Saccharomyces cerevisiae S288C: one gene and its partners. Changing the gene in region 2 together with the main gene of any one other region gives a genetic interaction. Each region holds a gene or a part of one and is shown on either strand. Other genes may lie near its edges.

Region 1 (6,759 bases), on a different chromosome or scaffold from region 2:
AAAGAATTCAGGAAATGGTGACCAAAGTGAATGATATGGGGCTAGAAACGTGTGTTACTTTAGGTATGGTTGATCAAGATCAAGCAAAGCAATTGAAAGATGCAGGTTTGACTGCATACAACCATAACATCGACACTTCCAGAGAACACTATAGTAAGGTCATCACCACGAGAACCTACGACGACAGGTTACAGACCATCAAGAATGTCCAAGAATCTGGAATAAAAGCCTGTACCGGTGGTATTTTGGGTCTCGGTGAAAGCGAAGACGACCATATAGGATTCATCTACACATTATCCAATATGTCTCCTCATCCTGAGTCCCTACCAATTAATAGACTAGTTGCTATCAAAGGGACTCCAATGGCTGAGGAACTTGCCGATCCAAAGAGTAAAAAGTTGCAATTCGACGAAATTTTGAGAACCATTGCCACAGCGAGAATAGTTATGCCAAAGGCCATTATAAGACTTGCCGCTGGTCGTTATACAATGAAAGAAACAGAGCAATTTGTCTGTTTCATGGCAGGTTGTAACAGTATCTTCACCGGTAAGAAAATGCTGACGACAATGTGTAACGGTTGGGACGAAGACAAGGCAATGTTGGCTAAATGGGGATTGCAACCTATGGAGGCATTTAAGTACGACAGATCTTGAAGATAGGGATATGTGGATAATTCTACGATTCTAACTGTACATTTCTCCCTTATTTATTAAGAAAACCTATATATATATATATTTACCTATTTATTCTGCCATCGTTAGCTGGCGTTTTATCTTTTATGCATCCAATATCTAATATTACTTCCGATCACGCATTTAGTTCTGATTACAGCAGAAATCGTAGCGCGATGAGACATTTCATCAAATGGCCTTTTTTTTTTGGGCAATTTTTTTATATCTTGAAATGATAGTTGCCTTGTACTTTCAACCGTTCATTTCATTAAGAACTTGACTAAATATGAACATTTCTTAAAAAAAAGGTTGACATATAAAAATAATCGAATATAAACGATGGAATTTTTATAAAATTAAACACATATATATATATATATTAACTATAAATATGTCAAAGAAACCATACAATCATAGATTTATAACTATCTTTTGGATGACATTAATGAACATAACGCTCCTAATACAAATGTCCAAAAAATATTACCCGCAAATACGAATCTTTTTTTTTTCTCGATGAAATTTTGCAAAGAGTTCGAAATTTTTATTTCAAGAGCTGGTAGAGAAAATTTCATAAGGTTTTCCTACCGATGCTTTTATAAAATCTTCGTTTTGTCTCACATATACCAACAAGAGTAACGATGTTTTCTTTACCTACCCTAACCTCAGACATCACTGTTGAAGTCAACAGTTCCGCTACCAAAACCCCATTCGTCCGTCGTCCGGTCGAACCGGTTGGTAAGTTCTTTTTGCAACATGCTCAAAGAACTTTGAGAAACCACACCTGGTCTGAATTTGAAAGAATTGAAGCTGAAAAGAACGTCAAAACCGTTGATGAATCCAATGTCGACCCAGATGAGTTGTTATTCGACACTGAATTGGCCGATGAAGATTTACTGACTCATGATGCTAGAGACTGGAAAACTGCCGATTTGTATGCTGCTATGGGTTTGTCTAAGTTGCGTTTCAGAGCTACTGAAAGTCAAATCATCAAGGCTCACAGAAAACAAGTTGTCAAGTACCATCCAGACAAGCAATCTGCTGCTGGTGGTAGTTTGGACCAAGATGGCTTTTTCAAGATTATTCAAAAGGCCTTTGAAACTTTGACTGATTCCAACAAGAGAGCTCAGTACGACTCATGTGATTTTGTTGCCGATGTTCCTCCTCCAAAGAAGGGTACCGATTATGACTTTTATGAAGCTTGGGGCCCCGTTTTCGAAGCTGAAGCTCGTTTTTCTAAGAAGACTCCTATTCCTTCTCTAGGTAACAAAGATTCTTCCAAGAAGGAAGTTGAACAATTCTATGCTTTCTGGCACAGATTTGACTCCTGGAGAACCTTTGAGTTCTTGGACGAAGATGTCCCAGATGACTCTTCTAACAGAGACCACAAGCGTTACATTGAAAGAAAGAACAAGGCCGCAAGAGACAAGAAGAAGACTGCTGATAACGCTAGATTGGTCAAACTTGTTGAAAGAGCTGTCAGTGAAGATCCCCGTATCAAAATGTTCAAAGAAGAAGAGAAGAAGGAAAAGGAAAGAAGAAAATGGGAAAGAGAAGCCGGTGCCAGAGCTGAAGCTGAAGCTAAGGCCAAGGCCGAAGCTGAAGCGAAGGCTAAAGCTGAATCTGAAGCCAAGGCTAACGCCTCCGCAAAAGCTGACAAAAAGAAGGCTAAGGAAGCTGCTAAGGCCGCCAAGAAAAAGAACAAGAGAGCCATCCGTAACTCTGCTAAGGAAGCTGACTACTTTGGTGATGCTGACAAGGCCACCACGATTGACGAACAAGTTGGTTTGATCGTTGACAGTTTGAATGACGAAGAGTTAGTGTCCACCGCCGATAAGATCAAGGCCAATGCTGCTGGTGCCAAGGAAGTTTTGAAGGAATCTGCAAAGACTATTGTCGATTCTGGCAAACTACCATCCAGCTTGTTGTCCTACTTCGTGTGAATACCGTAAGAAATGGAATAGAATATATACGAATGTATACGAATATTATAGAGAACGTTCTCTTTTATTTCTATAATGAATAGGTTCGGGTAACGGTTCCCTTTTTAGGTATTTCTAGAAGATGAGAGAAGAGGGAATAATGAGAAAGGCGAAAAATAAAGGACACCTTTAACGAAAGATCAAAGGTGTCCTTATTTACTTACAATAGCTGCAATTAGTACGACTCAAAAAAAGTGAAAACAAAACTGAAAGGATAGATCAATGTCTTACAGAGGACCTATTGGAAATTTTGGCGGTATGCCAATGTCATCATCGCAAGGACCATACTCTGGCGGTGCACAATTCAGATCAAACCAGAACCAATCCACTTCTGGCATCTTAAAGCAATGGAAGCATTCTTTTGAAAAGTTTGCCTCCAGAATTGAGGGGCTCACTGACAATGCAGTTGTTTATAAATTGAAGCCTTACATTCCAAGTTTGTCAAGATTTTTCATTGTGGCCACCTTTTATGAAGATTCGTTTAGGATCTTATCACAATGGTCAGATCAAATTTTTTATCTGAATAAGTGGAAGCATTACCCATACTTCTTTGTCGTTGTGTTTCTAGTGGTTGTTACCGTTTCCATGTTGATTGGCGCCAGTTTGTTAGTTTTAAGAAAGCAAACCAATTATGCCACCGGTGTGTTATGTGCTTGCGTTATTTCTCAAGCATTAGTTTATGGGTTGTTTACGGGTTCATCATTTGTCCTAAGAAACTTTAGTGTTATTGGTGGGTTGTTAATTGCATTCAGCGATTCAATTGTTCAAAACAAGACAACATTCGGTATGCTTCCTGAATTAAACAGCAAAAACGACAAAGCGAAGGGTTACCTGTTGTTTGCTGGTAGAATTTTAATTGTTTTAATGTTTATCGCTTTCACTTTCAGTAAATCATGGTTTACTGTTGTTTTGACCATTATCGGCACAATATGTTTCGCCATTGGTTACAAGACAAAATTCGCATCCATTATGTTGGGTTTGATACTAACTTTTTACAATATCACGCTAAACAACTACTGGTTTTATAACAATACTAAGAGAGATTTCTTGAAGTATGAGTTTTACCAGAACTTAAGCATCATTGGTGGGCTTCTATTAGTTACTAATACTGGCGCTGGTGAATTATCCGTTGATGAAAAGAAGAAGATTTACTAGATTGTAAAGGAAATCTTTTCTTTATGTCCCTTCTGTTCACTCATCTTCTAACAATCTATTTCGTTTTGCCTTCTTGTGATCGCTTTCAATACCCTGCTAGCTCACATATATACTTTTCTTACTGTCATATCTACATAAAAGATTTCTTTTTGTATAGGCGCACTTAACGAAATTTGATTGGTCTCACGTTGGCTTGTATATTCTACCTTCAATCAATGTGGTTATATCGCACAGAATTCCCTTGTATTATGATAGAACTTATTTATTGTAATTAGTTTTGATTTGACCATTTTCGTTGGTCCGTAATTGTTTTACACTGTCACTGCTTAAATCATTGAAGAGATGCTCTTGAGATAGCATCCGCTCTCCTATCTTTCCAAAGAAACGCTTTAAAGTCGCTTTAAGCAATCTCTAAAGTTTAAAAATTCCTAATAAATAGCTCTTTAGCAACTATTGTAAACCGCAATAATGGGCACACCCAAACATATTATTTGAAATTTTTTCCACCTCATCGCTTGAAAACACCATGTTGAAATTGGGATATTAAGTAGAGGAGGTAATTGATACCAATGAGGTGAAACACATCTACCAAGGGAAGTGTAGCATAATAGGGGAAGATGGCAGTAAAACATAAATCCGAGAGCCTTAAGCACGAAGAGGGGGCTGCCAAAAAGGCAAAGACAGGCCTATTGAAGCTAAAAAAAATCATGGATATAGAATCTAATGTGGTCAAATATTCCATATGCATACCGACAACTGTTATCGACAATTGTAATAATTTGGAGCAAGTTACATTTACTGCATATCAAATAGCTCGGACAGCTGTATTGTTCAATGTTCAAGAAATCATAGTTCTAGACCAGTCAAAAGATAAAAAGCATGAAAAAAAATCAAGATCAAAGGAGACTATCTCTGATTGTTTATTACTTGCCACACTATTACAATATTTTGTAACGCCTCCAAACTTACTGGATACTACATTCAAAAAAAAAAACAAGTTATATTTAAAGTGTGCATCTACCTTTCCGCCATTGAACCAGCTACCTTTTATGAACGCATCTGCCGAACAACACTACAAGGAAGGCTTATCAATCGCACGAGATAGCTCAAAAGGTAAATCTGATGATGCTCTAACAAATTTGGTGTATATAGGAAAGAATCAAATTATTACGTTATCTAACCAAAATATTCCCAATACTGCGCGTGTAACAGTTGATACAGAGCGCAAAGAAGTAGTGTCACCCATAGATGCTTACAAAGGAAAACCACTCGGCTATCATGTTCGAATGGCAAGCACTTTGAATGAGGTGTCCGAAGGTTACACAAAGATCGTTTGGGTCAACAGTGGTGACTTCCACTACGACGAAGAGTTGTCAAAGTACCACAAGGTAGAAACAAAGCTACCATACATCGCAAAACTGAAAAAAAGTTCAACATCAGAAAAACCCTGTAATATCCTGCTTATCTTCGGGAAATGGGGCCATTTAAAACGTTGTTTCAGGAGATCTGACTTAGAATCCTCTTCTTTGCATCATTACTTTTCTGGTCAACTGCAATTCCCTGCTTCCGTACCCCAGGGAAATATACCCATTCAAGATAGCCTACCCATAGCTCTTACCATGTTTCAGCGTTGGGCAAGTTGAAATAAATAGCAATTAATAACTGATATTACTATTTATGTTATATAATCATCGTTTTCTACGGATATGCAGTTCTATTTTTAGTAAAAGAAACGTTAAAATTTTTCTTTCAGTTTTTCGCCCTGAAAAAGAGAAAAATGTCACGAAGAAAACAAGAGGATATTTGTTTATTTTGATTTTAACTGCCTCCTTATAAAGAAACTTTTCCTCATTCACAATTTGGACTTCTTCTTGTTTTTTTCAATATAAGTTTATTGAGATAGACAACTAACCAAAAAGAAAAACGGTCAAAGATGCGTTTCTCTACTACACTCGCTACTGCAGCTACTGCGCTATTTTTCACAGCCTCCCAAGTTTCAGCTATTGGTGAACTAGCCTTTAACTTGGGTGTCAAGAACAACGATGGTACTTGTAAGTCCACTTCCGACTATGAAACCGAATTACAAGCTTTGAAGAGCTACACTTCCACCGTCAAAGTTTACGCTGCCTCAGATTGTAACACTTTGCAAAACTTAGGTCCTGCTGCTGAAGCTGAGGGATTTACTATCTTTGTCGGTGTTTGGCCAACAGACGACAGTCATTACGCTGCTGAAAAGGCTGCTTTGCAAACCTATTTGCCAAAAATTAAAGAATCCACTGTTGCTGGTTTCTTGGTTGGTTCTGAAGCCTTATACCGTAACGATTTGACTGCCTCTCAATTATCAGACAAAATTAATGACGTCCGTAGTGTCGTTGCTGACATTTCCGATTCTGACGGAAAGTCATACTCTGGTAAGCAAGTCGGTACTGTCGATTCCTGGAATGTTTTGGTTGCTGGTTACAATTCTGCCGTTATCGAAGCTTCCGATTTTGTTATGGCTAACGCGTTCTCCTACTGGCAAGGTCAAACCATGCAAAATGCCTCTTACTCATTCTTTGATGATATTATGCAAGCTCTACAGGTTATCCAATCTACTAAAGGTTCTACCGATATTACCTTCTGGGTTGGTGAGACCGGTTGGCCAACTGATGGTACCAACTTTGAAAGTTCTTACCCATCTGTTGACAACGCCAAACAATTCTGGAAAGAAGGTATCTGTTCCATGAGAGCTTGGGGTGTTAACGTTATTGTTTTTGAAGCCTTTGATGAAGATTGGAAGCCAAACACCTCTGGTACCTCTGATGTCGAGAAGCACTGGGGTGTTTTCACTTCAAGTGACAATTTGAAATACTCCTTGGACTGTGACTTTTCATGAACGCTTTAAAAATACTCTTTAAACAAGAATGGCTTTTTCCTTCTGTTTAGGTGAGGAATAAGCAAAAAGTAACAAA
Region 2 (7,609 bases):
AGGATGCTGGGTTTGGGCCAATCTGCTCAAGCATATGCAAGTGATGATGCTCTCAATATGAACCAGGCAAAGGATAAAACGTACAGCGTTCCAGGGTGTGGCAGGGCAAGCGACCTCAAATATCCTCATCGTGACGGACACTCTTCGTCTCACGAACAGCGCTCTGGAATTTTACCAACTGAATGCCCAGGCCCTACTTTAAACACCGGTGCCGGTAGCATCGGTATCCCGGGATGTGGCAAAGTCACAAATAGAGTGGTCAGTGACTATAACAAAAACGCTAGGTCTACGCTAGCCAATTTTGATAGTAGTAAAATGACCGAGGCAAGAATGAACAGCAAGAACGTGCCGATTGGTTGTCAAGACACCTCTGATCCGCACTTCAATGGGCCTATCGACCAACATGTTCCCGGTGCAGGTTCACCTCAAAGTCAACCTCATCACATCGACGCGTGGAACAGCGTTTCTTCTCGCCGTGCCGATAATAACAACCAAGACATGATGGACCCCCAAACGGCTTCCTCAGACAGGTACAATGAGAAAATGATGAGAGAAGAAAATAGCGGCGTCTCTGCTTCTTCTTACACCACTAAAGTGCAGGGATATCCCGCAAGTATTCCATCATTCAATCAGGAAACTGAGGAAAAGGAAACCTACGCCTACGGTGTGGGTGATCGGCACAATGTCCCAAGAAACCAAATTATGGATGAGACTAATCCTTCGGCTAACGTTCTAAACGCTACTGATCATAGTATTTCGCACCCTGAGAATAAGGTCTTGCATAAGTAGTTTTTGTTTTTCCTACAGTTTTTATTTATAACCAACCTTATACTTTTATATCCTTGTCTACATATTATTGTCATAACGAATTTTTTATTGGTTAAATGCAGCTATTGCGTTCTCTTTATTGCATAAATATATTCTATTACAATATGGGAGGGCATTATCAGCCTCCATGTGCTTGCGTGCTGTCAAAGAAGGAGTGCGGGGATGACAATATGAATAGCCGCCGAAATTATGCCCGGCTGCAGTTGACCGTATAAATAACAGTGCTTCAATGAAAGGACACAAAAAGCAAGATCGTCCCATTTTCTACCTTAATCAGTATAGTAAAAATCAAAAACATAATATATTACTGTTATGATGAATAAAGTAGATCAAATCATCGGTTACAAAAAGTACGAAGTGAAACTACCAAAAGATCGACAAGTAAAGAAAAATAAATCAAAAGGTGGAAATGTTGATCAAATAGATACTAAGAGGGAAAAGGATAAAATGAGAGCTTTTGGTGAAGAAAGGAAAAAGTTCTTAGATAAAATGGCTAAAAACAAAAAAAAAAATACAAGTAGAAAAGATAGAGAGAAGCCAAAAGAAGTAGAAAAAGAAAACTACAAAAGAGAAGACAAAAGGCTAAAAGAACAGAAAAAATTATCACTGGCAAAAGAATTTCGTTTCAAAGAACCGAATTCAGAAGCCATTAATCAGAACACAGCAGCTGAAAATGGTAAACCTAAACCACAGACTGGACTAGATTTTGACATAGACCATCAAACCGTGTCCAAGATCATGATAGATCAGGCTATTCAAACATCTAGTCCTCTTAATGTCCAACTCACGGAACTTTTCAATGATAACGTCCTCGACGTCTCGAAAGATAGTCAGTTTGTCCTTCAAGACATGGAGTTCACCTCCTGGGAACGACGCTGGTCAAACTGCAGCACGACCAGTAATGCGACTACGGTCTCATCAGTTCCTGATCCCAAATATAATATCAACTACAACGACATAACCTCCTTCAATTCAGTAGCGCTAATTACCGAAGATCTTAACATATCTGCATCATCTAATGGTCTGCATGAGAGAGGTAAAAAGCTACTGCAGCAAGAGATGGAATACTCAAACAAGGTCAAAAATGTCACCATCGGGCTTGAAAGATTGTGTATGGATGAAAAACCAGTCCCAGATGCAGGAATAACCATGCAACAAGCGTCGCGCTGGTCAGAATTCCCCACTTGTTGCGATCAAGCTGCTATTTAGCTTTTCTAATTTAAAAAATTTATAAACTTCTTATAGTATTTCATCTTTATATCAAATACTATTAGCAAAATAAAAGGAAAGGAAAGGGAAAGGAACTTCTTTAGACTGCTTCGCACTGATTCTATCGCCATCCTTCTTCATGTTCTCAACTATTGGATATCTGCTCTATTTAGAACAATCGTTATTGTTACCCGCGTTAAATGGGGTAACTGATTGCTGCTTTTTTTTCTCGTTGTTTTGGACCTTTTCGGACATGAGAGGTCAAAAGAAAAAACAAACACGACCAAGTAAGCCGGAATAAACAAGTATAACCACCTGATTGAATTGCCTTCTTTAAACAAGCACAGACCTCCAAAAAGAAAAGGCTTTTGAAACGCTGCTCACGCACAGTTGTTTATTCCGTCCACATATTTTACGTGTCAGTTTCCTTTCTGTCTTCTCTTTATTCAATCAATTAGCATTAAAGAGAAAATAAGTCGTGTACTTTGAAAACCTTCTGTTCCTGTTTTCTTCCCGTATTTTTCATTTGCTTCACCAGCTTTTTCTCAACTGATCATATCATTTCAAGTTAAAAGTCTTTGTCATCACTTTTCTGTGAGTTGCAAATATTTGTAAGCGTCACTTACCTAGAGCAGCCTTTATCGATCAATATTTCAGAGGGAAAAACCTGTATCTCTTAGCATGCAAAGTTCAGTTTATTTTGACCAAACAGGGTCATTTGCGTCCAGTAGCGACAACGTTGTGTCTAGTACCACCAACACACACAACATTTCTCCCAGTCATCGTTCCAGTTTGAATCTGAACACTACTTCTCATCCCCACGAAGCGTCGGGTAGAGGAAGCGCAAGTGGGGAGTTGTATTTGAATGACACAAACTCACCCTTAGCGATATCTTCTATGCTAAACACACTTGCCCTTGGAAGTATGCCCCAAGACATTGCAAGCAGCAACATTAGCAATCACGATAACAACATTAAGGGGAGCTACAGCCTAAAATTGTCAAATGTAGCCAAGGATATTACTCTCAGAGAATGCTATGCAATCTTCGCTCTTGCTGAAGGTGTGAAAAGTATAGAATTACAGAAAAAAAACTCTTCATCAAGCATCACTTCTGCCTCATTAGAAGACGAGAATGATATTTTTATCATTGCCAGATTTGAGTTATTGAATCTAGCTATTAATTATGCCGTTATTTTGAATTCGAAAAATGAACTCTTTGGACCCAGTTTTCCCAATAAAACAACCGTTGAAATAATAGATGACACAACAAAAAACTTGGTTTCATTCCCATCATCTGCCATTTTCAATGACACCTCAAGATTGAATAAATCGAACTCGGGAATGAAAAGGCCAAGTCTGTTATCACAAAGATCCAGGTTTTCATTCAGCGATCCATTTTCCAATGATTCTCCTTTAAGCCAACAGCAATCTCAACAGCAGCAGCAACAGCCACAACAGCCACAACAACACTCTACGCAAAAACATTCACCACAACAATGTAATCAACAACAAGTGAATTCTTCAATACCGTTATCTTCTCAAGGCCAGGTTATTGGGTTACATTCTAACCATTCACATCAAGATTTGTCTGTGGAATCAACAATTCAAACATCTGATATTGGCAAATCTTTCCTTTTGAGAGATAACACTGAAATTAATGAAAAGATATGGGGCACAAGCGGTATACCTTCCAGCATCAACGGTTACATGAGCACTCCCCAACCTTCTACGCCAACTTTAGAATGGGGAAATACTTCTGCATCCCAACATGGTTCTTCGTTCTTTTTACCCTCTGCAGCATCGACAGCCATTGCACCTACGAATAGCAACACCAGTGCCAATGCAAACGCCAGCTCCAACAATGGAGCCAGCAATAATGGTGCTAACCAGGCACTCTCTGCCAGCTCGCAACAACCAATGATGCAAATTGGTAACACGATTAACACTTCCCTAACCTCTTCAAATTCATTGCCTCCATACGGTTTAATGTCTTCTCAATCGCAGCACATTTCAAATATGGTAAACACCTCTGATATGAACATTACACCTCAAAAACAGAACAGATTTATGCAACAACCCCAACCAGAGCATATGTATCCTGTGAATCAAAGTAACACTCCTCAAAAAGTACCGCCCGCAAGATTAAGTTCAAGTAGAAATTCACACAAGAATAACTCTACTACCTCATTATCCTCAAATATTACTGGATCTGCCTCGATTTCTCAGGCTGATTTGTCACTACTAGCCAGAATTCCACCTCCTGCCAACCCTGCTGATCAAAATCCACCTTGTAATACCCTTTATGTAGGGAATTTACCCTCCGACGCTACTGAGCAAGAACTAAGACAGCTATTTTCTGGTCAAGAAGGCTTCAGAAGACTATCATTCAGGAATAAGAATACCACATCTAATGGTCATAGTCACGGACCGATGTGCTTCGTTGAATTCGATGATGTCAGTTTTGCAACCAGAGCGTTAGCTGAATTGTATGGTAGACAGTTACCTCGCTCCACTGTGAGCAGTAAGGGAGGTATCAGATTAAGCTTTTCAAAAAACCCACTGGGTGTTAGGGGCCCAAACAGCAGAAGAGGAGGCAGTGGTAACCCAAATCCTAATGTAAATATGCTTTCCAGTTACAATTCTAATGTTGGTCATATAAAAAACTAAAAAAATGGTTCCGCAAAAACCTGATTTCCTTGCATGTATCACATTATATGCATTGCTTTTCATCTTTCCCCCACTATAATAAGAATAATATTTTCTGTCGCATTTTTTCTTTTTCTTTTATTATTTGTTATAATAATATTTTCTAAACCGACTAATAATAAGAATAACATCGATAATACTTTATCTCTTCAATTACGTTAAATTATCTTTTTACTATTACATTACAACGTGCATATAACAGAAATTTTTTCTTTTTCTGTCTAACATTTGAATTGTACTATGAATTAAACCCGCCATCTTTTTTCTTAACTACCATTTTGCGAACTCCTATACCGCTTCTGCAACAACAAGAACTTTTATTTTCAATTTTAATGTGCCATTCATTCCATTTTGCTTGCGCTAATGTGAATAAGATTGAGAGGGAAAAGTCTCACTATCGAATATCGCTCTTTAGTGTGATTATTGTCATCAAAGCACCAAGTGCTTAGGTGAGGTCATATCCGACAAATGTTTTGAAGAGAGAATATCTTTTTTTTATGCTGCCAACTTTTATTCTTTCCTTGTTTAAAAAACTCTGCCTTTGGATATTCTCCCACTATATATATGTATTAGCCTTACTTTTATTCCAGAACTCATTTTTATAGAAGTATATATCGGTATCGACTTCAATGTAATATTTTCAACCCTATGCTACAAGAGCAGATTAAAAAAATATGGGCTACCAGTGGCAAGAACATATTTGATATTTCGAAGTTCTACTTTGTTTATGACCGAACTGATCAATTTTATGAATGTCTTTCAATGGAATCTCAATACGGGTAATAACGTCATATTTCTTATTTTTCTTGGACAATTTGTCCAAAATAAAATTTTCACGACTTTTCTCCTTCAAGTACCGCGACTTCTGCGATAGTTGTCCGTTAGACATAATAATCATTAACGCATCCATAAGGTGCTTGCGGTCTGTATTTGACTTTCTTCACATTCTTACGCCTAGACTGAATGGGAAAACAACCAAGAAACCAAAAAGGAACCTGAGAACACAAAGAGTATTTGACGAAAAGTTACACTCACATAATGCATCACCAAACTAAGTTAGATGTATTCATAATCAGAGCTTATAATTTACTGTCTAACGAGTCTGTCATTAGTGGTGCTTCCTTGCAGAGTGTTACAAACTCGCCACAGACGACAACGAACACGCCCTCAGGTATGGTTAACGGGGCGGTTGGAACAGGGATAGCTAATCCAACAGGGTTGATGGGGTCTGATAGCACACCTAACATCGATGAGATTATAACTAGCACTGGTAGTAATGCTCTGACGAAAACCAACTCAGATAGCGCTAATGGTACGCCGAATGGTAATTCAAGTTCTACCTCAGCCATTAGCAATGCAAGCAATCCTGCCACTACTGGTAATAATGCGAGCTCTAGTGCCACCTCAAATGGAATATATACGCAAGCGCAATATTCTCAACTTTTCGCCAAAATATCAAAACTATATAACGCTACACTATCATCTGGGTCAATTGACGATAGATCAACATCACCAAAATCGGCAATCGAACTATATCAAAGATTTCAACAGATGATTAAGGAACTAGAGCTGAGTTTTGACGCAAGTCCTTACGCAAAATACTTCCGCCGGTTGGATGGAAGGCTTTGGCAAATAAAGACAGACTCAGAATTAGAAAACGATGAATTGTGGCGATTAGTCTCAATGAGCATATTTACAGTATTCGATCCTCAGACCGGCCAAATTCTAACTCAAGGACGCAGGAAGGGAAACTCCTTAAATACATCAACTAAAGGCTCCCCATCAGATTTACAGGGAATAAACAACGGGAACAATAATGGGAACAATGGTAATATTGGAAATGGGAGTAATATTAAGAACTATGGAAATAAAAACATGCCAAACAACCGAACGAAAAAAAGAGGCACCAGGGTGGCTAAAAATGCTAAAAATGGGAAAAACAATAAAAATAGTAATAAAGAGAGAAACGGCATTACAGATACGAGTGCATTCAGTAATACAACAATAAGCAACCCAGGTACCAATATGCTTTTTGATCCATCATTGTCTCAACAGTTACAAAAACGACTGCAAACGCTATCACAAGATGTCAATTCTCGTTCGTTGACAGGATATTATACACAGCCAACCAGTCCTGGCTCAGGAGGATTTGAATTTGGTTTGAGTCATGCAGATCTGAACCCCAATGCTTCCAGTAATACCATGGGCTATAATACAATGTCCAATAATGGATCCCATTCGTGGAAACGAAGGTCACTGGGATCGTTAGATGTTAATACGCTGGATGACGAAGCGGTGGAAGAACTTTTGCAACTGACAAATACGAGTAAGAGGCAGAGGCCGATGACAACTGCAGCAGAGGGTGCGTTAATAAATGATGGTCCGGACACTAATTTAAACGCGAATAACACCCAAATGAAAGTTGATTTAAATCCTTCAAACAGCATGGGACCTATAGATACAGAAGCCGTGATACGCCCATTGAAAGAAGCTTATGACGCAATCATTTCTGAAAAAGGCCAAAGAATTGTGCAATTAGAAAGAGAATTGGAATTACAGCGCCAAGAGACGCAGTGGTTAAGGAAAATGTTAATTGAAGACATGGGTTGTGTTAGAAGTATGTTAAGGGATTTACAAAGATGACACGATAATAATGTTTAACATATATTGCTTTCTCTTTTAATTTTCTGGTGTAGATTGGCGGTATAATTAACTATTTAACAGTGACGTTTACTATCTTACTGTTTCTTGTACTCTTTTATAATGAACAGACGTTATTATATAACTACGAACTAATGATAATTCTTTTTACGTTATTCCTGATGTAAAGGATACAAAATGGGTTTCTTTATTTTGCAGCAGAACC
Region 3 (11,317 bases), on a different chromosome or scaffold from region 2:
ATCTGAAGTGCTCTAAAATCATAGTTTATCAAAAAATGCAACATTTCGAAAGTTCAGATAAGATAGAAAAGGATGATGATACATCAAGAATTAAATTACGCTCTTCTTCTTTGGCCGCTCCAATCCTCGAGGCTGTTCAAGAAGCCCAGCCTTTTGAAGAAGCCACTTTCTCTAACTTACAGAAGATACATCCGTTAACAGAAAACTCAACTTGCAATGGTTATGTTATTTACGATAAAGATGGAAATTTGAAATCCATGAAGGATACATTTGGTAGGAATATAAAAACACCTGATATTTCAAATCCTACAAGAGCAAGAAATGAAAGGCCATTGGATACAATACGTGGATTTGAATACTCCATAACAAAAGATCCCCGCTGGTTGCAAGAGCTAGAAACATCTAAGTTGGGATTTAAACCTAGACCTGGATTTGCCGTCATTAATCAAGACTCACAGGCTTCAATAAATTTATCTCAACTGGAAGAAAAAGTTATGGAAAGCCAAAAAAAAAAGGAGAAAAGACACATATCACGGCTTTCTCGGTTACTCTGCAGATGAATATAAAGATAAGTACGCTAAGATTATAAAAAGTGCTTGAAGCTCAAAAATATGTATTCCTTTAATTTCTGCGGTACCCTATGCCGGAGCACTAAGAAAAACACATTCAAAAAAATTTTCATACTCATCTCATCTCTACAATTAAACAATACATAAAACAAATATCGTGACTTAGTTATTTTACTTATATCATTCAATAAACCTAATCAATCAATGGCTAAATTACAGAGGAAGAGAAGCAAGGCTCTTGGGTCATCTCTAGAGATGTCCCAGATAATGGATGCAGGAACAAACAAAATTAAAAGAAGAATAAGAGATTTAGAGAGGTTATTAAAAAAGAAGAAAGATATACTTCCATCCACAGTAATAATAGAAAAGGAAAGAAATTTGCAAGCTTTACGGTTGGAATTGCAGAATAATGAACTCAAGAATAAGATTAAAGCCAACGCTAAAAAATATCATATGGTGAGATTCTTTGAAAAAAAAAAAGCATTGAGAAAATATAACAGATTATTGAAGAAAATAAAAGAATCTGGCGCAGATGATAAAGATTTACAACAAAAGTTGAGAGCCACTAAAATTGAATTATGTTACGTGATAAATTTTCCCAAAACTGAAAAGTATATTGCACTATATCCGAATGATACACCATCTACAGACCCAAAGGGCGTAGAATTGACAAATCTTAGAAGAGAACAATTTCTTAAATTAGTAGCTGAAAGAATGGATGCGAACACCTTAAACGTATCTTTCGAAGAGATATTGAAGGGAAAGAAATTGGATGAAGATTCCATCGGATTAACATTATCACCTGATAAAGATCATGAGGATGGATCACAAGTATCACCTACACAGGATAGAAAAGAATTGGATCAAGTTGTGGGAGAAGATGAAAAGGATGACTTTTTTGAGTAAAAAAATTCTAAATGCGTTATGTAAGAAAATATATACGAAGATGTATACTAGATAGATTTCCACTGTTATCTTTCACAAAATAATTGTTGTTTTAATTGTGTCTCACTAAGAGATTAGTTTATGGACCATATCATAACGTAATCCTAAAGCGTCATTAATAAGGGAAAATTGCAATTCTTCGCCACGAATTTCTTCGGGAATAAATAGATCACAATGTATTATGACCTCTTTATTCATTTGTTTTGGTTGACACCTTTTAATCATCAGCAGTTCATCGCCTTTGTGTCCAATTAAAAACCATAGTTCTTTTTGTATCTTAGGGAATTTATCACAATATACTTCAAACCCATTATTATGCTTACTAGAAAGGTGCTTGCTATAAAATGTTAACACCTCGTTATTTTCCTGTTCTTCAAATTTCATGCCTTCTAAAACCGGTAATCTTTGGCAGACACTGACGAAACGTTTTTTCGTATCTTCGCTTTCTGTCATTCCAAAAGTTAGTTGATCAAAAACATTTAATAATTTCTTATATCCAAACCTTCCTATTTCCTCCAAGGTTAACAGCTTTTTCTTCTTTTGCTGCGGCGTCATTTCAATGAACCCCTGCTCGCTAAAAGTGTAATCTTTGATTCTTCTCAGTTGTAATCCTGGAAGTACACTAACAGGATCGTCTTCATACCAATACCCTTGCTTTATGCATTGCATCATCTTTATCATGGTCAATACCGTATGAAAGTAACCCAATTCACTGGCGACATCAATATAAGCCTGTAGAATACGTAGAGATTGATCCAAAACTGATACGGTATCCTGGATATAATCTGCAATCGGTAAATCTACACGGCTTAAATGAGCTTGAAGTAATAAAAATGTTTTTACATGTGGATCCCACATCGGTAATTCGAATTCATCGGTAAAAGTGCTTTCAACGGAGTACCTCGATTGCTGCGACATTTCTTCATTCATGATAATTTCACCACCTCTTACAGGCAATTCATTATACTCAACAGCCAACGATAACCATCGTAATACCTCTTGAAAAGTCGCATGATCATGTATCTGTTTCAATAATTGGCGTATCGTTAAATGTGAAATATAGTAGTATGAGGATATACTTAAGAATGGCGTAGCAACAATATCATCTCCATGTAATAAAACACATTGTGATTCTCGCAGATTTTCTAATGTGCTATCTATCAAAGAACTCAAATGTTCACTGACTCCTGCTGTACTTGTATCATCTTCAATGCCATAATATGTCGGGTTATGATGCGCTCTACGAAACAAAAATGTCCAACTCAAAAAATCTAACGCTTCTTGCTTATTAGTTATGCTACCTGACGTTATTTCTGCACCTAAATGATCATCTAATACCTTGTGCAAGGAGGACTCGACAGGAAAACCAACGTTTAGGAAATGTTTATAAAACATTTTTTTGGACTCTTTTGTATAAACGATAGCAGTACCTGTAGTGTCATAAGCCGGTCTACCAGCTCTCCCCATCATTTGCAAGATATCTGTTAAATCCATATCTCTATATCCTTCAATTTTTGCATCAAAAAATTGTGTACCTTTGATGATAACCAAGTGAGCTGGCAAATTGACACCCCACGCTAGGGTTGATGTAGCGATCAGAATCTGAATTTTGTTTTTTTGAAACAACTGATGAGAAATAGAACGATCTTTTTGCACTAGACCTGCATGATGCAATCCAATACCGAACTGGAGTGATAACTTTAAAGTGTCGTCAGTGACCTGTGATAAGTAATATTGCAGTTCCTCCTCATCGTCTATATTCAAAAACCTACGTGGATTATCTTCCATTCCACATAAGTGGATCAAGTCTAAAGCCGTTAGTCTAGTTTGTCTACGCGATGCAACAAATATTAATGCTGGTTTATCAGGTGAATGTTGTTTAATGGCCATAAACACAGGTTTGTTCATTGTTTTCATCAGAGGACAGAATGCCAAATTATCTGGAAATCCATCAATGTACATTTTCAATGGAACCGGACGGACGCTTGACGGGAAGTTATACAGTCCGTGGTCCTTAACTCCCAACCAGCCAGCCATGTCGTAGGCGTTTGAAACAGCAGTTGACATACCTAGCAGTCTGACCGGTTGCTTGGTTTGAGAGGAAATATAATTCATACGACTAACAATCATTTCTAAGATAGGACCACGATCACTAGCCAACAAATGAATTTCATCCATGATAATTAAAGATACATCTTGAACAAACTTACGAGTTTGCCAATTACGGGAAATACCATCAAACTTTTCTGGAGTTGTAATAACAATGGTGGCATCATGCACATCTTTAGGATCTGGCAAAGAATCACCGGTTAACTCTACAACTTTATCTCCGGTCACTGGTGTTATTTTCTTTCTCCAGTCATCAACCCTTTCACGTACTAATGCTTTCATTGGTGCGATATAAACAATCTTTTTCCCAGGAAATGTTTTGAAGGCATGCCATATAGCCAATTCAGCCACAATCGTTTTACCAGAACCTGTAGGCGAGCCAACAAACGCATTCTCATTGGTATTGTAAAGTGTATAAAATGTCATAGTTTGCATGGGATTGAAATACTTGAAAGGATAAATTGACTCAATTAAAGGATTCTGGAGGGCTGATGTAGGTAGAGGACGTAACTTCAACAATTTTGTCTGTAAAGTTTCGTTAAATGGTCTGATTAAATGTTGAAAAGAGATGGCATGGGTCGATTCACAGCCAATCCAAGTATCCGACACAACCTTTACGACAACCTGCGGAGGCAAAGGGTCTGACAATGGGATCATGAAGTCCATTTCATGCTGATTATTCAACTGCCTTCTGTTTAAGATGAACTTTTCAAAATGAAGGATTTGCGACTTATCAGATTCTTCAACGAAAACCCAAAAAAACTGTGCATCACCATGTATCCGGGAATCCCATACAAAGTCTGGACCTAATGCAATATGTATCCTCATTACATTTGTTGTAATGGGGAAAATCTCAGCTTCTATATTAATCTTTGGAAATCGGCTCAATATTTTATATAACCTAGACCCGGCCTTCTTATTATGCACCAGCTCTCCGAGCTCATCTGCCTCTAATTCTAAAAGATGCTCCATGGAAGGTTTAGTATCTCTGATGCGTCTGATAATATTTTCAGGCAAATCAAACTGACAGAGAGGGTGATCAAAGGCCCAGAGCCTCTTTTCAATAGATTTGCAAATATTTAGCATGACGTTTGAAAATTTACCCCATCTTCTATTGACACCTATTAAAAACAATGCTCTACAAATTCTAACAGAGTTCTGAGCAACATAATTCGAATCGGATGATAGTGCTGAGTCAAAAATTCTAGTCTGGGAAATATAAGCCTGTAATAGCACGTTTGCTTTACCTTGAGGGGTGTCAAGTTGGCTTCCAATCTGGCACTCAACAGATTCATCAGAAAGTCTCTTCAACTCCTTGGATTCTTCTTCTCTAAATTTTATACCGTCAAATTCACTGCTCATACTGATCATGGACAATACATCAGCTTCGGTGGCTCTGGGATCACACATTTGATTGAATATCTCGACGGATTCGTTCAAAAGATAAAAATCAGAGGACACCCTGCCCAAATCCTTTGCAATGAAATGCATTGACACTTCATCGAACACAATCATTTGGAGAGCATGTAATCGCCTTGCAGCTACTACGATCATTTTTCTCCTCCGTTCATATAATTGCGGGTCATTTGCAATTTCCTCCCAATCAATACCGTAAGTAAAAGGATTTTTTCTCATACGAACAAACATGTATGTGTAACCAAGCCATTCGATTGCTTCATCTACATTTGTCACGCTCCCCAATGAAATTTCGGCGTTCAGGTTATCAACCAACTTGGAACCGAATCTAGATTCGATAGGGTGTTGTTGAGTAATTAAGGAAACATAATGATCCAGACGATCATTGGAAGTACATAAAATACCCGTACCATTTGCGGAACCGAAGCCCGGCCTACCACCCCTGCCAAAAATCTGAATAACATCTGAAATACCTAGATCTATGAATCCACCCTTTTTAGAATCATATACTTGTGTACCCTTGATGATAACACAATCAGCAGGTAAATTAACACCCCATGCTAATGTTGCAGTACAACACAGTACCTTGATAGCACCGTCTTTAAACATTTTTTCAGTAAGATTTCTATCTGAACGGGCCATACCAGCATGATGGATACCAAAACCAAATTGAAAAATCTCCTTCATATCCTTGTCTCTGTTCTTCACTAAACTTCTAGAATATTTATCCTTTTCGATAGGGTCAGGTGCAAAAAGGTCAACTTCGTGGTTAGATTCTGCTAGTTTGATAAAGTTTCTTGCACTTTTAACAGTTTCCTTTCTTGAGTGGACAAATACCATTACCTGGTACCCTCTTTGAATCATTTCACTCAATTTGTCGTAAGCGACTTTATCGATATTCTCTTTACTTTGTCTACTACCTGCCTTACCTCTACAGCCCAAAAGTTGCTGCTCTAGAGGCTTTGGACGGAATGATTGATCAAAATAGAACATTCCGATCTGTCTATTTACTCCTAAGAAATCTGCTACATCCATAAAATTGGGTAATGTAGCTGATAGACCGATAATACGAATCATTGATTGAGAGCTTTCTACCTGTCTCAAGGTACGTGCAACTAAAGTTTCAATAACCGAACCTCTATCTTCGTGCAGTAAATGAACTTCATCAATAATTAGTAATTTGACCTTTGAAACCAAATCGTTGTCGCCGTTTGCTTTACGGGTGACAACGTCCCATTTCTCAGGGGTTGTGACTATTACTTGAGTGGCTAAAATTTCCGCCTTTGTCAATTGCATATCGCCTGTTAACTCCCTTACTTGTATATTAAAAGGCGCCAATTTCTTACTAAACTTGTCGACGATTTCAGCAGCGAGTGCTTTCAAAGGGGCAACATAAATAACTTTAAAATCATCATATTGAATATCAATTTCATTTTCCCCGTTGACCACGGAGAATTGTTTTATTGTATTAATTATTGTCAGTAATGCAATGTCTGTTTTACCTGCACCAGTAGGTGCACAAATTAGCATATTTTCATTTGTTTTATAAGCTACGGGGTAAACAAGGGATTGTATTTGGTTTAAAGTTTCATAGGGAAATACAGTCTTGCAAAAATGATCCAAATCACTTATTTTCAATAGTTTTGTATAGAGATAGTTCTTGTTGGATGCCTGATCTGCTGCCGGAATTATAATTTCTTCATGGGTATTGTACGACATCCTTGTAGTCCCTACTGGCAAAGTGAATTTTTGACCGGCAAAGGCCATAGCTGTAGTGGATCCTGCTTCATATTTTCTGAAGACGTGTGGGTACTTGATTATTTTAGTGGCGGGATTTAATTTCCTATTCTTGGCATCCTCTGCACTTTTCAAAACTTGATTCCTGATATCTTGCTGTGTCAGGAACTCTGGCGTTGAATTGACCGCATTTTTTATTAGCAGAATCGTCGTTTCTATAGGTGTAGCAACGATCATTCTTCTATGCTGAAGTAACAGAGAAACAAGGTCTATATTCCCTGTTCCTAAAAAATCCAACAATTCTTTCTCTAACTCTTGCTTTTGATGTTTATAAACCATTTGCAGTACAGTTTCTAATAATACATTGCTGCTTAGTGTCGTTTCAGCTTCATTGATTAGTTTTCCAATTTTTTTATATACTGCAACTGCATTCTTTGTTTTGTATGAATCAATTATAGATTGCAGTTGAGCAAATGAAATGTCTTTAAACTCCTCAAATATATCATCCCAATCATTTCTATCTTGTGAGAGAACAGTTAGTTCAGTTCTTTGATTTTGTTCATCCTTTTGGACTTTTTTTAGCTCGTCATCAAAATCTGGTAAAGAGATTTTCGATCTATCTAGATTAAAGGTTTGTGAAGTATCAATCATAGATTGCATTGCAATCATAAATGATTTAGATGAATCAGCAGAGTATTCAGTTGACATCTTGAGCCGGCTATTGATGGTACGGATCTACTTCTCACAATTCCAATGGTGTTAGAAGATATTATGAACATGTTTAATTTCAATATGTTCAATACATATTCCATTCTCGGTCATTACCCGAAACGTATGCCAGAACAGTGACTGTTAAAATAAAGTAGTGGAAAAAAGCATAATATATATACAAGGTGTGGTTTTAAATCTATTTCTTTTCAAGAAAAGTGCACATTCATGTATATGAACTAACTACATTTAAGAATTATATAAACATTATGGACTCCTGCTTATTCAGATAAAAATTTTATTATTTCATCGACAGTTCCTGTTTTATCCCATGCTGATTTACTTTTCCATATTATTTTTGCAACGGACGAATGAACATCTTCTAATTGAGAAACCGTAAAATTCTGACAGTGTTCGATTAAGCATGCAGATACTTTTTTTATTTGTTCGGGCGTCAAAATAAGCTCCTTGTCGCTCTTCTTCCCTTGCTCCGGTTCCACAACCTCTTTTGGTATCGGACTTCGTTCCCTTTTTTCTACCGTTTCGTGGAGGGAATTTGGTTTGTTAACCGATTGAATTTCCTTTACGTGATTTATATTATTAGTATTAGCGTCTATTTTGCTGAAGTTTTCTTCCGTAACCTGCGTTTGCAAAGAGTCTTCATTCTCTTTTGGTTCTTTTCTGGCCCTTTCATCATCATCGGTGGTTATCTCTGACGTGCAAGTGGCCTGTATCAGTTCCGTTGTGTATTCTTCATTTGCACCGCTATCCTCAGGGATGACCGCTTTTTCTTTATCTACTGCAGAGGGAATTGCCGCAGGAATCTCCTTTTTATACAGGTTGGTATCAATTGGTTGAGGGACCTCGCTGTTATTAACGATAGAGGCTGTATTGATAGTTGTTTGCAGCTGAGCTTGCAATTGATTACCAGCAGCTACACCAAACTCATTAGCCTTGTTATCCTTTAAATCAGGTTCTTGCAGTATATTTTCTTGACTCTGTTCTTTGGCTTCTAATTCCATTGCAGCTCTTTTCTCTTCATCTTCTAAGAAAAGTTCCTGCCTTTCCAAATCCCTTTGGCGAGTAGCTTTACACTCTTGAATAAAATCCGGGGTTGAAATTTCTTCGATACCCATTTGCGCGTTGGCAAACATCTCAGAGGCCTTAATGACACGTTCTCTGTCCCCAATGGTATTTGCATCCCTGTATATCAGTTCAATGTCTTTTAAAAACTGTTTTGGTTCTGAGTAATAGCCATTCCAAAGTCTCTCTTCGACAATATCCAAATCCATGTTAAAAAACTTTCGCCCTGTTGAAACCTCCAGAATCATGTTCTCATCTTTTATATATGCAGGTTGCCAATTGGGATCATTGCTTGTCTCTGGTTCGAAAAGATGAACCAAGAAGGCATCATCAATAGGTGGTTTTCTAAACCTTTTATATCTGTTTTTAAAAAGATCCATCAAGCCTGAGAGTTTGATTTTTAACACATTTTTCAATCTCATATCTTGGTGTTGAAAAGATTTCAACTTCCTTCTTAATACCACTTTTTCAGACAGTGGCTCACCATTTTCATCAAAATTTGTTGGAGCTGCGTTTGAAGTTACTTTTTGTAATTCAGGTAACGGTTTGACTCTTCTCTTTTTCATGGGAATATCACTTGGCTTTGTTTTCAGTAGTTCAATTAAATTAGAAAAATACCTCGTTATATTCTCTTTGGATGGTTTATGCAGTTGAAAGATATTTTTATCAAAAGCAAAATCAGATAAAATACCATTTTTAACTTCAGATATATCAAGATTTTCAGCTAAGCATAATAGAAGAATTTTTTCATTGCTTTGTAAAGATCTGAACAAACCTGATAAGACTAAAATAACGTTTTCTGGAATAGTGTTGATCCAAATGTCTAAATTAGGAATAAATACAACTGAGGGCTGTCTTTTCTTTGCTTCCATAAAACTTTGCACTACAGCAGCTTCAATAGTCCTAGAACTTTCCGAAACCAAAGAGGCAAGGTCCAGGTTTTGGACGTTGAATTCTTCTAAATAATTTAAAATTGCGGCTCCGACATATTGTTGACCATTTCCCTTGGGCCCATTTATTAATAACCGAGGTTTACAAATTTGTGATTCCGCCATCGATTCGAAAAACTCATATGATCTAAAACTGGATGTATCTTCATTTCCTCCATATTTGTCATGCTCTTCTTCCTCTCCACTGTATTCTTCATAATCGATGAAATTTTGTAGCAATGATGTGTTTCTCTGAAAAGTTGTGTCTTTAATGTTCAGCATATAATCCAGCTTGTTCTTTAAATTATTAAGTTGATCTGCCAGTAATGGTTTGATTAATTCAGGTAGTGGCTGAGGAGAACTACCAGTAGATCTCGCAGATGACGGAACAATTTTTTTCAAAGCTAACATGAAATCGCTAACTTTGACTTTAATCTTAGAAGGGTCCACCAAGAGTTTATCATTTGACCTATAAATTTGAGGAAAGCTTCTTTGTATACTTATTAGTGCAGCCTCAGTGCATAGGGACCTCAGATCAGCACCACCATATCCTTTGGTCAAAAAAGCCAATTTATCAATGAAGTTGGTTGACAACGGTGAACTCCATTTCCTGGTCTGAATTTGCAAAATTTTAAAACGTGCTTTAACATCAGGTAATGGAAAATAAAATTCTCTATCAAATCTTCCCGGCCTTCTTAATGCGGGATCCACTGCATCGGGTCGATTTGTGGCTCCGATGACAATGACTTGGCCTCTATTGTCCATACCATCCATCAGCGCTAATAATGTGGAAACAATACTAGCATGGATCTGTTCTTGTTTGGAACTTCTCACAGGCGCTAATCCGTCGATTTCATCAAAAAAAATGATGGAAGGTTGATGTTTTTTAGCTTCTTCGAATAACAAACGGAGTTGTCTTTCAGCTTCACCAACCCACTTGGATAAAATATCTGCACCTTTACGCATAAAAAATGTGATCTTCCTTTCATCAGAAGAACAACTTGCTGCTAACGCTCTTGCCATAAGTGTTTTACCCGTACCAGGAGGACCATGGAAAAGAACACCCCTTGGGGGCGTGATATTAAAATTTTGATACAATTCTGGGTATAATAGTGGTAAGGCCACCATTTCCTTTAATTGGTCAATGTAGTTGTCTAAACCACCTATATCGTCAAAATTTACATTCATGTCTACGCCTAATGGATCGAGGTCTGCAATTTCTGGTTTTTTCTTCTTCTTTTTTTGCGTGTTCTCTTTCTTTGTTTTCGGTGTCACGCCAAGAGGTAATATCTCATCATCGGAAGAGTCTGAATCCAGTATTAATTTATTGTTGTTATTATCACTGAATGCAGATGGGACTTGGTTGTAAAAATTAGTATTCTTACCAAATATTGTAGTTACGTCATTGCCACCAAAAGGTCCACCAGTGGGAAAAAGCCTTCTTGTGGGACCAGAATTTTGACTAGCATTCCAACCACCGCGACCACGCCGTGCAGGTGATGGGTTATGAAAAGAAAGTGCATTGTTATTCTTATCTATAAATTCTTCTGCGTTGCTAGCAGTTAGTGGTGGTGGTAATTTGTAATTTACCGGCTTAGTTCTTTCGCGAAGAAATCTTTTTTCCCTGATAGGACTATCTTCCTGTAACTCTCTAATTTCATCAGCTAAAGTTAACGCTTCATTCCTGCTATTATCATTCTCATCGTCATTTTCTTCATTTGAAGTACGCGAATGTCTTGTCCTACTTCTTAAAGCTCTTCTTACCGGTGGTGGAGTTTCTGGGTGACGTGACGATCTTGTTCTTCGAGAATTTGCCCTTTT
Region 4 (7,114 bases), on a different chromosome or scaffold from region 2:
GATTTATCGTTTTTTTGGTGAGACTAATGAATTTCTGATTATAGTAGAAAATTCGACTGCTGAGAACCATAGATGATTTGGTAGACCACTGCAATGAAGCAGTGTGCGACAATCGTTTAATAAAGTACGATTTAATCGTTCAGCGACACCGTGTGCTCTAGAATCTGCCGTGGTTGTATAGCATGCAGTAATACCTCTGTTCGTAAAGAACTTATGAAGAGTTTTGTTAGTGTACTCGGAGCCACGATCCATCTGGATAACTAGAACGCGAGCATTGAATTGGTTCTTAATAAATGCTAATATCGATGTAAAAACATTGAGGATAGATTCTTCACGACGGTCGTGTAATGGGTACACCCATTGGAATCTGGTTTTCTCATCTGTAAACGATATAAAGTAAGAAGGTGCACTTTTCGGTAAGTGATGTACAGGACCAAATATATCGGTGTGCAAGTACTGAAAAGGCTCATATGATTCTTGGTACTTTAGTCGTGATCCTTTGACATGTCTATGTTTCGTGCTTTTGCCGATTAGACAGTCAGGACATTGATATGTGCTAGCGTTAGACCATTCAATATCCGATTCCTTCAAATATGTAACTGCATTCTTCTTAAGAGACTTCTGAATACTTCGGAAGTTAGCATGTCCAAGCATTCGATGTATTAACGGATATGGATATTTATTTACGCTTTTGCTTTTGTTGACGTTGTTTATTGTTAGCTTTGAAATGTGCGAAGGAATTAGGTATTTTTTAGATAACCAGTAAAAGTCTCCATGTTTGACTATGGGAGCTAGTACTGTACCATCCGATCTTTCTAAAGTGTTTCTGGTAAAGCAGGCAGTAATATTTTGATTAGCCAGCTCACTCAAACTTAATAGATCATAGGCTATGTTTGGTGTGTGTAGTGCTTTTATTGATGTTTTGGTGCCGTTCTGAAAGTTGAAGTGAAGATTACCAATGGCATTTATAGGAATGTCTTGTTTTTGAGCATCGACTATGTTTATTTCAGAATTGGGTGTTGCATGGTGTAAATAATGGGCTGATCTGACAAGCGTTTGCGAAGCTCCTGAATCAATAAGAAGGTGATCAGGTAGTTCGTCATTCGAGTCTATTGTGTGTGTTGGCTTAGATTCTTTCTGTTGCTGGCCTAAGACTAAGTTCGTCGTCATCGCTTAAGTATTGTGATGAAACGGTTGATTCATTAATGTGATCATTGTTCACCCTTGAGAATTTACTAGATGTAGCAATATTGTGAGCTTTTGCTGCTCTTGGTTTTGAACTATTTGTTCTATGATAATTACGAGTTGTAACCTTTGTGTTAGTCGTGTTTGGAGATGTGCGAGAAACATTTTTGTATTCGCTGTGTTGTTTGTATTGGGACGGTTTATTTAGATTCATGATTTTATTTTCGTCATATATTAATTGAATTTCAGCGAATAATTGGGAAAGTTTCATGTTCGTTTTGGTACGATATTGATTACGTAGGTATTTGAAGTCACCGGATAGACCTTTAAGTATTAGTTGACAGGCCAATCTGTCGCTAACATTGATATTGTTTTCTTTTAGCCTCTGAATGATCGTACTGACTGTAATTTCAAATGTATCAGCAGATGTACTTCCGTCGTACTCAAGGTTGGCAAGAGCTATCCAATCCTTTAATTCTTGATTGTTAGTTTGCATTTTGGACACACTTTTACAAAGGACTGTAAGGATGTCAGCATAATTAATTTCTAAAATTTGTTTTACCCATGTTGGCAATAAATGAAATGGGGCAAATGCTTGGAAGGTATTGTATATATACGCATGTTCTTCATAAGTCATTTGTCTTTTGATTTCACCCTGGTCATTTGGAATGATGTCACCGAGATTAGAGTTCTTCAAAAATCTGATGTAAAATTTAACCCATGTAGAAAAGTTTTCTTCTGATGTTAAAGTGTGTGGTGGTAAGACGTTATTTCCCACCTTTGTCTTAGCTTGAGGTATTTCAGAGTGTTGATTTTTTAAATCGATTGGATCAGGTGAGGAAGTACTCAGTGGTGGGATATACTGTGGCAACGGATAGTGTGGGTCCGGTTGATAATACGCAGGTGACGTTTGATAATGTGAACACGTCATCATAGATGGTTGTTGGTAATGTGCCCAGTTAGAGGCCATAGCTTTGTTTGGGGTCATCATGCCGTGCTGTTGGTACTGTCCATTCTGTGGAGGTGGTACTGAAGCAGGTTGAGGAGAGACATGATGATGGTTCTCTGGAACAGCTGATGTCCCAGGTGTTGTCTCTTGTTGAGAATTAACCTTAGTGGAATCTCTATCAAATTCCGGTAAATTGGAAGCTGAAACGGCTAACGGATCTTGATTTTATGGGACTTCCTTAGAAGTAACCGAAGCATAGGCGCTACCATGAAGAGAATGTGGATTTTGATGTAATTGTTGGGATTCCATTTTTTATAAGGCGATAATATTAGGTATGTAGATATACTAGAAGTTCTCCTCGAGGATTTAGGAATCCATAAAAGGGAATCTGCAATTCTACACAATTCTATAAATATTATTATCATCATTTTATATGTTAATATTCATTGATCCTATTACATTATCAATCCTTGCGTTTCAGCTTCCACTAATTTAGATGACTATTTTTCATCATTTGCGTCATCTTCTAACACCGTATATGATAATATACTAGTAACGTAAATACTAGTTAGTAGATGATAGTTGATTTTTATTCCAACAGTATTTATGTTTTGTCATTCTTTTCTACATAATCTTGAAACTAGGTAGATCTACAATTGAAAAGTAAATACTAACATTATTTACTAAATTTAAGTTAGAAATCGGCACGAAAAAAATTTGACAGATTACGAGAGTCCAGCCAAAATATGAGTATATTACTATTTCCCCTTGGTGAAAGAAATGAAAGATGTTATTTTTTACCGGCTTAGTAATACTGAGCTACTTACTTGGGGGAAAGAAAGATTGGCTACTTATTATGTATGAAGCCTCAGATTACCTTGAATTCCTCAACCGTTTGAGCAGTATGCTCTTCAAATTCGAACTTTTTGAACATCTTTCCTCCACATTCCTGATTTTTTCACATTCAAAACGCGCTGTGAAGCTGTTAGAAATTTACAGATCGAGGCATATTTCTATATATAATGTATTTTTATTAAGACACCCAAAGTACTTCCAATCTGTAGATATTGCACTTTATCTGACCAGAAGCCAGACTTGAACAGTTACATATTGTGCTTTGCAGTCGTTAAATTTCCCGAACTGTTTTCGTATTTTTTTTTCTTTTCCTCTTTTCCACTGGATCAGATCAAAAGCCGACTAAAAATTTGGCAATTTAAAGAAAGCATCTTTTAAAGATAGAAAAGGTTATTTCAACAAAAAAGTATCTTTTCTTCACTTTTCTTTCAACAATTCAAAGATGGCTAGAACCATAACTTTTGATATCCCTTCCCAATATAAACTCGTAGATTTAATAGGTGAGGGAGCGTACGGAACAGTATGTTCAGCAATTCATAAGCCTTCCGGCATAAAGGTAGCTATCAAGAAAATACAACCGTTTAGCAAAAAATTGTTTGTTACAAGAACTATACGTGAGATCAAGCTTTTACGGTATTTCCATGAACACGAAAACATAATAAGTATATTGGATAAAGTAAGGCCAGTATCCATAGACAAACTAAACGCTGTTTATTTAGTCGAAGAGTTGATGGAAACCGATTTACAAAAAGTAATTAATAATCAGAATAGCGGGTTTTCCACTTTAAGTGATGACCATGTTCAATACTTTACATACCAAATCCTCAGAGCCTTAAAGTCTATTCACAGTGCACAAGTTATCCATAGAGACATAAAGCCATCAAACCTGTTACTAAATTCCAATTGTGATCTCAAAGTCTGCGATTTTGGACTAGCGAGGTGTTTAGCTAGCAGTAGCGATTCAAGAGAAACATTGGTAGGATTCATGACGGAGTACGTCGCAACGCGATGGTACAGGGCACCCGAGATAATGCTAACTTTTCAAGAGTACACAACTGCGATGGATATATGGTCATGCGGATGCATTTTGGCTGAAATGGTCTCCGGGAAGCCTTTGTTCCCAGGCAGAGACTATCATCATCAATTATGGCTAATTCTAGAAGTCTTGGGAACTCCATCTTTCGAAGACTTTAATCAGATCAAATCCAAGAGGGCTAAAGAGTATATAGCAAACTTACCTATGAGGCCACCCTTGCCATGGGAGACCGTCTGGTCAAAGACCGATCTGAATCCAGATATGATAGATTTACTAGACAAAATGCTTCAATTCAATCCTGACAAAAGAATAAGCGCAGCAGAAGCTTTAAGACACCCTTACCTGGCAATGTACCATGACCCAAGTGATGAGCCGGAATATCCTCCACTTAATTTGGATGATGAATTTTGGAAACTGGATAACAAGATAATGCGTCCGGAAGAGGAGGAAGAAGTGCCCATAGAAATGCTCAAAGACATGCTTTACGATGAACTAATGAAGACCATGGAATAGTATTCACAAGAACATTTCTGCCATACTTCTAAAATTTCCCTATATTCAGCTTAGCAGTGACACGTTGTGGTCTGTAGGTCAATATGTAAGTAAGAAACTTCAACTCACATATGCACGATGCATGCCAATGGAAAAATGCAAGGAACGAAATGGCGCCACGGCAACAAGTTTTTTTTTTTCGCCAGCAGAAGTACACGAAATGCGGCTTCATGAGCCTCTTCACTGCTTTGCCTAAACGGGAAATGCAGAGAAAAACCAGCCATCGCGTGTGCTTGGAGAGCTGACGCGACTGTAATCAAAGAGGCGATATCAACACCTTTTATCCAGCACTATTCAACAGTGAATGGGCTCCCAAGTAAGTCTTGGCATTGTGCTTTCTATTCTTAAGTATTAAGTAGAAGTTTTGTTTACTGGGTTTGTTTATTCCTGGCTAGATGTTCGCATTCGTTTTCTAGTTGACCATATTTACCAAATATTCACAACTAATACCCAGCCAAGGTAGTCTAAAAGCTAATTTCTCTAAAAGGGAGAAAGTTGGTGATTTTTTATCTCGCATTATTATATATGCAAGAATAGTTAAGGTATAGTTATAAAGTTTTATCTTAATTGCCACATACGTACATTGACACGTAGAAGGACTCCATTATTTTTTTCATTCTAGCATACTATTATTCCTTGTAACGTCCCAGAGTATTCCATTTAATTGTCCTCCATTTCTTAACGGTGACGAAGGATCACCATACAACAACTACTAAAGATTATAGTACACTCTCACCTTGCAACTATTTATCTGACATTTGCCTTACTTTTATCTCCAGCTTCCCCTCGATTTTATTTTTCAATTTGATTTCTAAAGCTTTTTGCTTAGGCATACCAAACCATCCACTCATTTAACACCTTATTTTTTTTTTCGAAGACAGCATCCAACTTTATACGTTCACTACCTTTTTTTTTACAACAATTTCATTCTTCATCCTATGAAATGACGAAAATAACCAGAGATGTTTCGATAACGACAGAAAATTCAAAATCCACATCTGGATCGGCAACGGCTTCATCCGCATCTTTACCTGAGAACGACCACCCAATATTCCATCAACCGCGAGCAAGAATAAGATCTGGTTCGCTGTTCATCGAAGGATCTGATTCATTTCCATCATCAGAAGTGAAGTCATACAATGTTTATATTGATGATAGCAAGTATAGTGAAATCCTCAAAGGAGATACAAATTCAAGTAGTACTGATGGTAAACAAGTCTTTGAAGATGCTAGAGATGACAATTTCCATCAGGAATCACATAGAGATCTAGAGGATTCAATTTTAGATTTAGTACGACGAGATCCAGAAGTAGCAGCATTCCCTTTACCTCCGCCAAATTCAAATGAGAGGAACAGAAATTCCTCAAACGGGTCTTCCGCTGAAACTAACCTAAATGGACACAGCAGCAGCGGTACCATCTCTACTTCGGTGCTGTTGAATATGGGTTCGGCAGAAAAGCACGCTGGGACGACCAGAGGAGATCATATGGAATCATCTTCAATGAAATCCTTCGAGAAACTGGGAACCAGACCTTCTTCTTTATTCTATCCACCACCCGAAGGAACTGCGCCGTACCAGGGACCAAGGGCTACCGTCTCCGGAAATAAGTCTACAAGGCAAACACAAGGTACATACTCATTTCCTTCTATGCGGTATGGTGTAGATCTTGTTTCTCCTGTGGAAGGGGCTGTTGATGTAGCAAAAAGCAGAGTTCCTAACAGCACGCTAAATGGTACTTTTCCCGATAAAGCGTTTATCCCACATGAATTTCAAATTCCTAAAAAGGCCTGGAACAGAATACCAGCGAATAAGTCCACTAGCCTCAAAACCCCAAGAAACCATTCCCTATTAATTGACATATTAAAGCCTTTTGAAGCAGCTGACCTTGCTAATGACCAGCGAAGTTCTTCCGCTGTTTTAAAAAATACAGTGCATTCTAATGGGCAGTATAATCCAACTAATGAAACCTCTGGAACTCGAATGCAAGATCAAAGGCAGAAGAATACCAACGAAATTGATTTAGAGAAAATTCCTAATCCTCAAGTCCCTCTTGGTATCGCAATGGACACCATGCGTAGTCCAAACCAACTACACGAAAAGGAATACGAAAGTAATATAGAAGCTGGTTTAGCTTCTGGGGTCGGAAAAGGTGACAATAGTATTAAGCAACATCAATATAAAAAAATTCCTCAAGAAATTGATCGAGATCAGCAATTAAGTTTTCAAATGGAAACAATGCCCATTCAAAGAATAGATTCCTCCTCCATACGTTCATTTGATTCCCGAATATATGGCTTCTCCGAGATTTATAGTATTCCAAGGGTTATAACTACACTGTGCATCTGCCTTTTTGTTCCGCCCTTATTCTTTTTCTTTTCAATCAATGGAAATAATGGCGTTTCAAATTATAGATTAATGAGAATGATAATGAATTATGAACATAGAATCGGCCTCCTCAAAGGGTTTGAATGGGACATTGACGTACAATGGTTCAGGACATTGTGCTTTGTATTAGGATGTATAGAGATGTTAGCTA

What was found.
Region 1: mutations in WHI3 (region 2) and ERV29 together harm fitness more than expected from each alone (negative genetic interaction), as found in Saccharomyces cerevisiae (2 studies listed by BioGRID).
Region 3: mutations in WHI3 (region 2) and SLH1 together harm fitness more than expected from each alone (negative genetic interaction), as found in Saccharomyces cerevisiae (2 studies listed by BioGRID).
Region 4: mutations in WHI3 (region 2) and KSS1 together harm fitness more than expected from each alone (negative genetic interaction), as found in Saccharomyces cerevisiae (2 studies listed by BioGRID).

Annotation. Positions count from the first base shown.
Region 1 is NC_001139.9:1,057,707-1,064,465, reverse strand, and holds ERV29 (protein ERV29), read left to right. Parts: upstream 1-2,875; coding exon 2,876-3,808; downstream 3,809-6,759. Other genes in the region: BIO2 (biotin synthase), read left to right, coding at 1-653; ZUO1 (zuotin), read left to right, coding at 1,313-2,614; UPA1 (putative methyltransferase), read left to right, coding at 4,426-5,451; BGL2 (glucan 1,3-beta-glucosidase), read left to right, coding at 5,742-6,683. UniProt on the Saccharomyces cerevisiae protein: Constituent of COPII-coated endoplasmic reticulum-derived transport vesicles. Required for efficient transport of a subset of secretory proteins to the Golgi. The C-terminal di-lysine motif is required for exit from the endoplasmic reticulum.
Region 2 is NC_001146.8:264,703-272,311, reverse strand, and holds WHI3 (mRNA-binding protein WHI3), read left to right. Parts: upstream 1-2,718; coding exon 2,719-4,704; downstream 4,705-7,609. Other genes in the region: YNL195C (uncharacterized protein), read left to right, coding at 4-789; SLZ1 (Slz1p), read left to right, coding at 1,141-2,037; GCR2 (Gcr2p), read left to right, coding at 5,782-7,386. UniProt on the Saccharomyces cerevisiae protein: Involved in size control and cell cycle.
Region 3 is NC_001139.9:1,027,958-1,039,274, reverse strand, and holds SLH1 (RNA helicase), read right to left. Parts: upstream 7,485-11,317; coding exon 1,581-7,484; downstream 1-1,580. Other genes in the region: YGR273C (uncharacterized protein), read left to right, coding at 36-560; EFG1 (Efg1p), read left to right, coding at 774-1,475; chromatin segregase YTA7, read right to left, coding at 7,766-11,317. UniProt on the Saccharomyces cerevisiae protein: Involved in activation of the ribosome quality control (RQC) pathway, a pathway that degrades nascent peptide chains during problematic translation.
Region 4 is NC_001139.9:571,967-579,080, forward strand, and holds KSS1 (mitogen-activated serine/threonine-protein kinase KSS1), read left to right. Parts: upstream 1-3,431; coding exon 3,432-4,538; downstream 4,539-7,114. Other genes in the region: YGR039W (uncharacterized protein), read left to right, coding at 2,922-3,233; BUD9 (Bud9p), read left to right, coding at 5,521-7,114. UniProt on the Saccharomyces cerevisiae protein: Together with closely related FUS3, KSS1 is the final kinase in the signal transduction cascade regulating activation/repression of the mating and filamentation pathways, induced by pheromone and nitrogen/carbon limitation, respectively.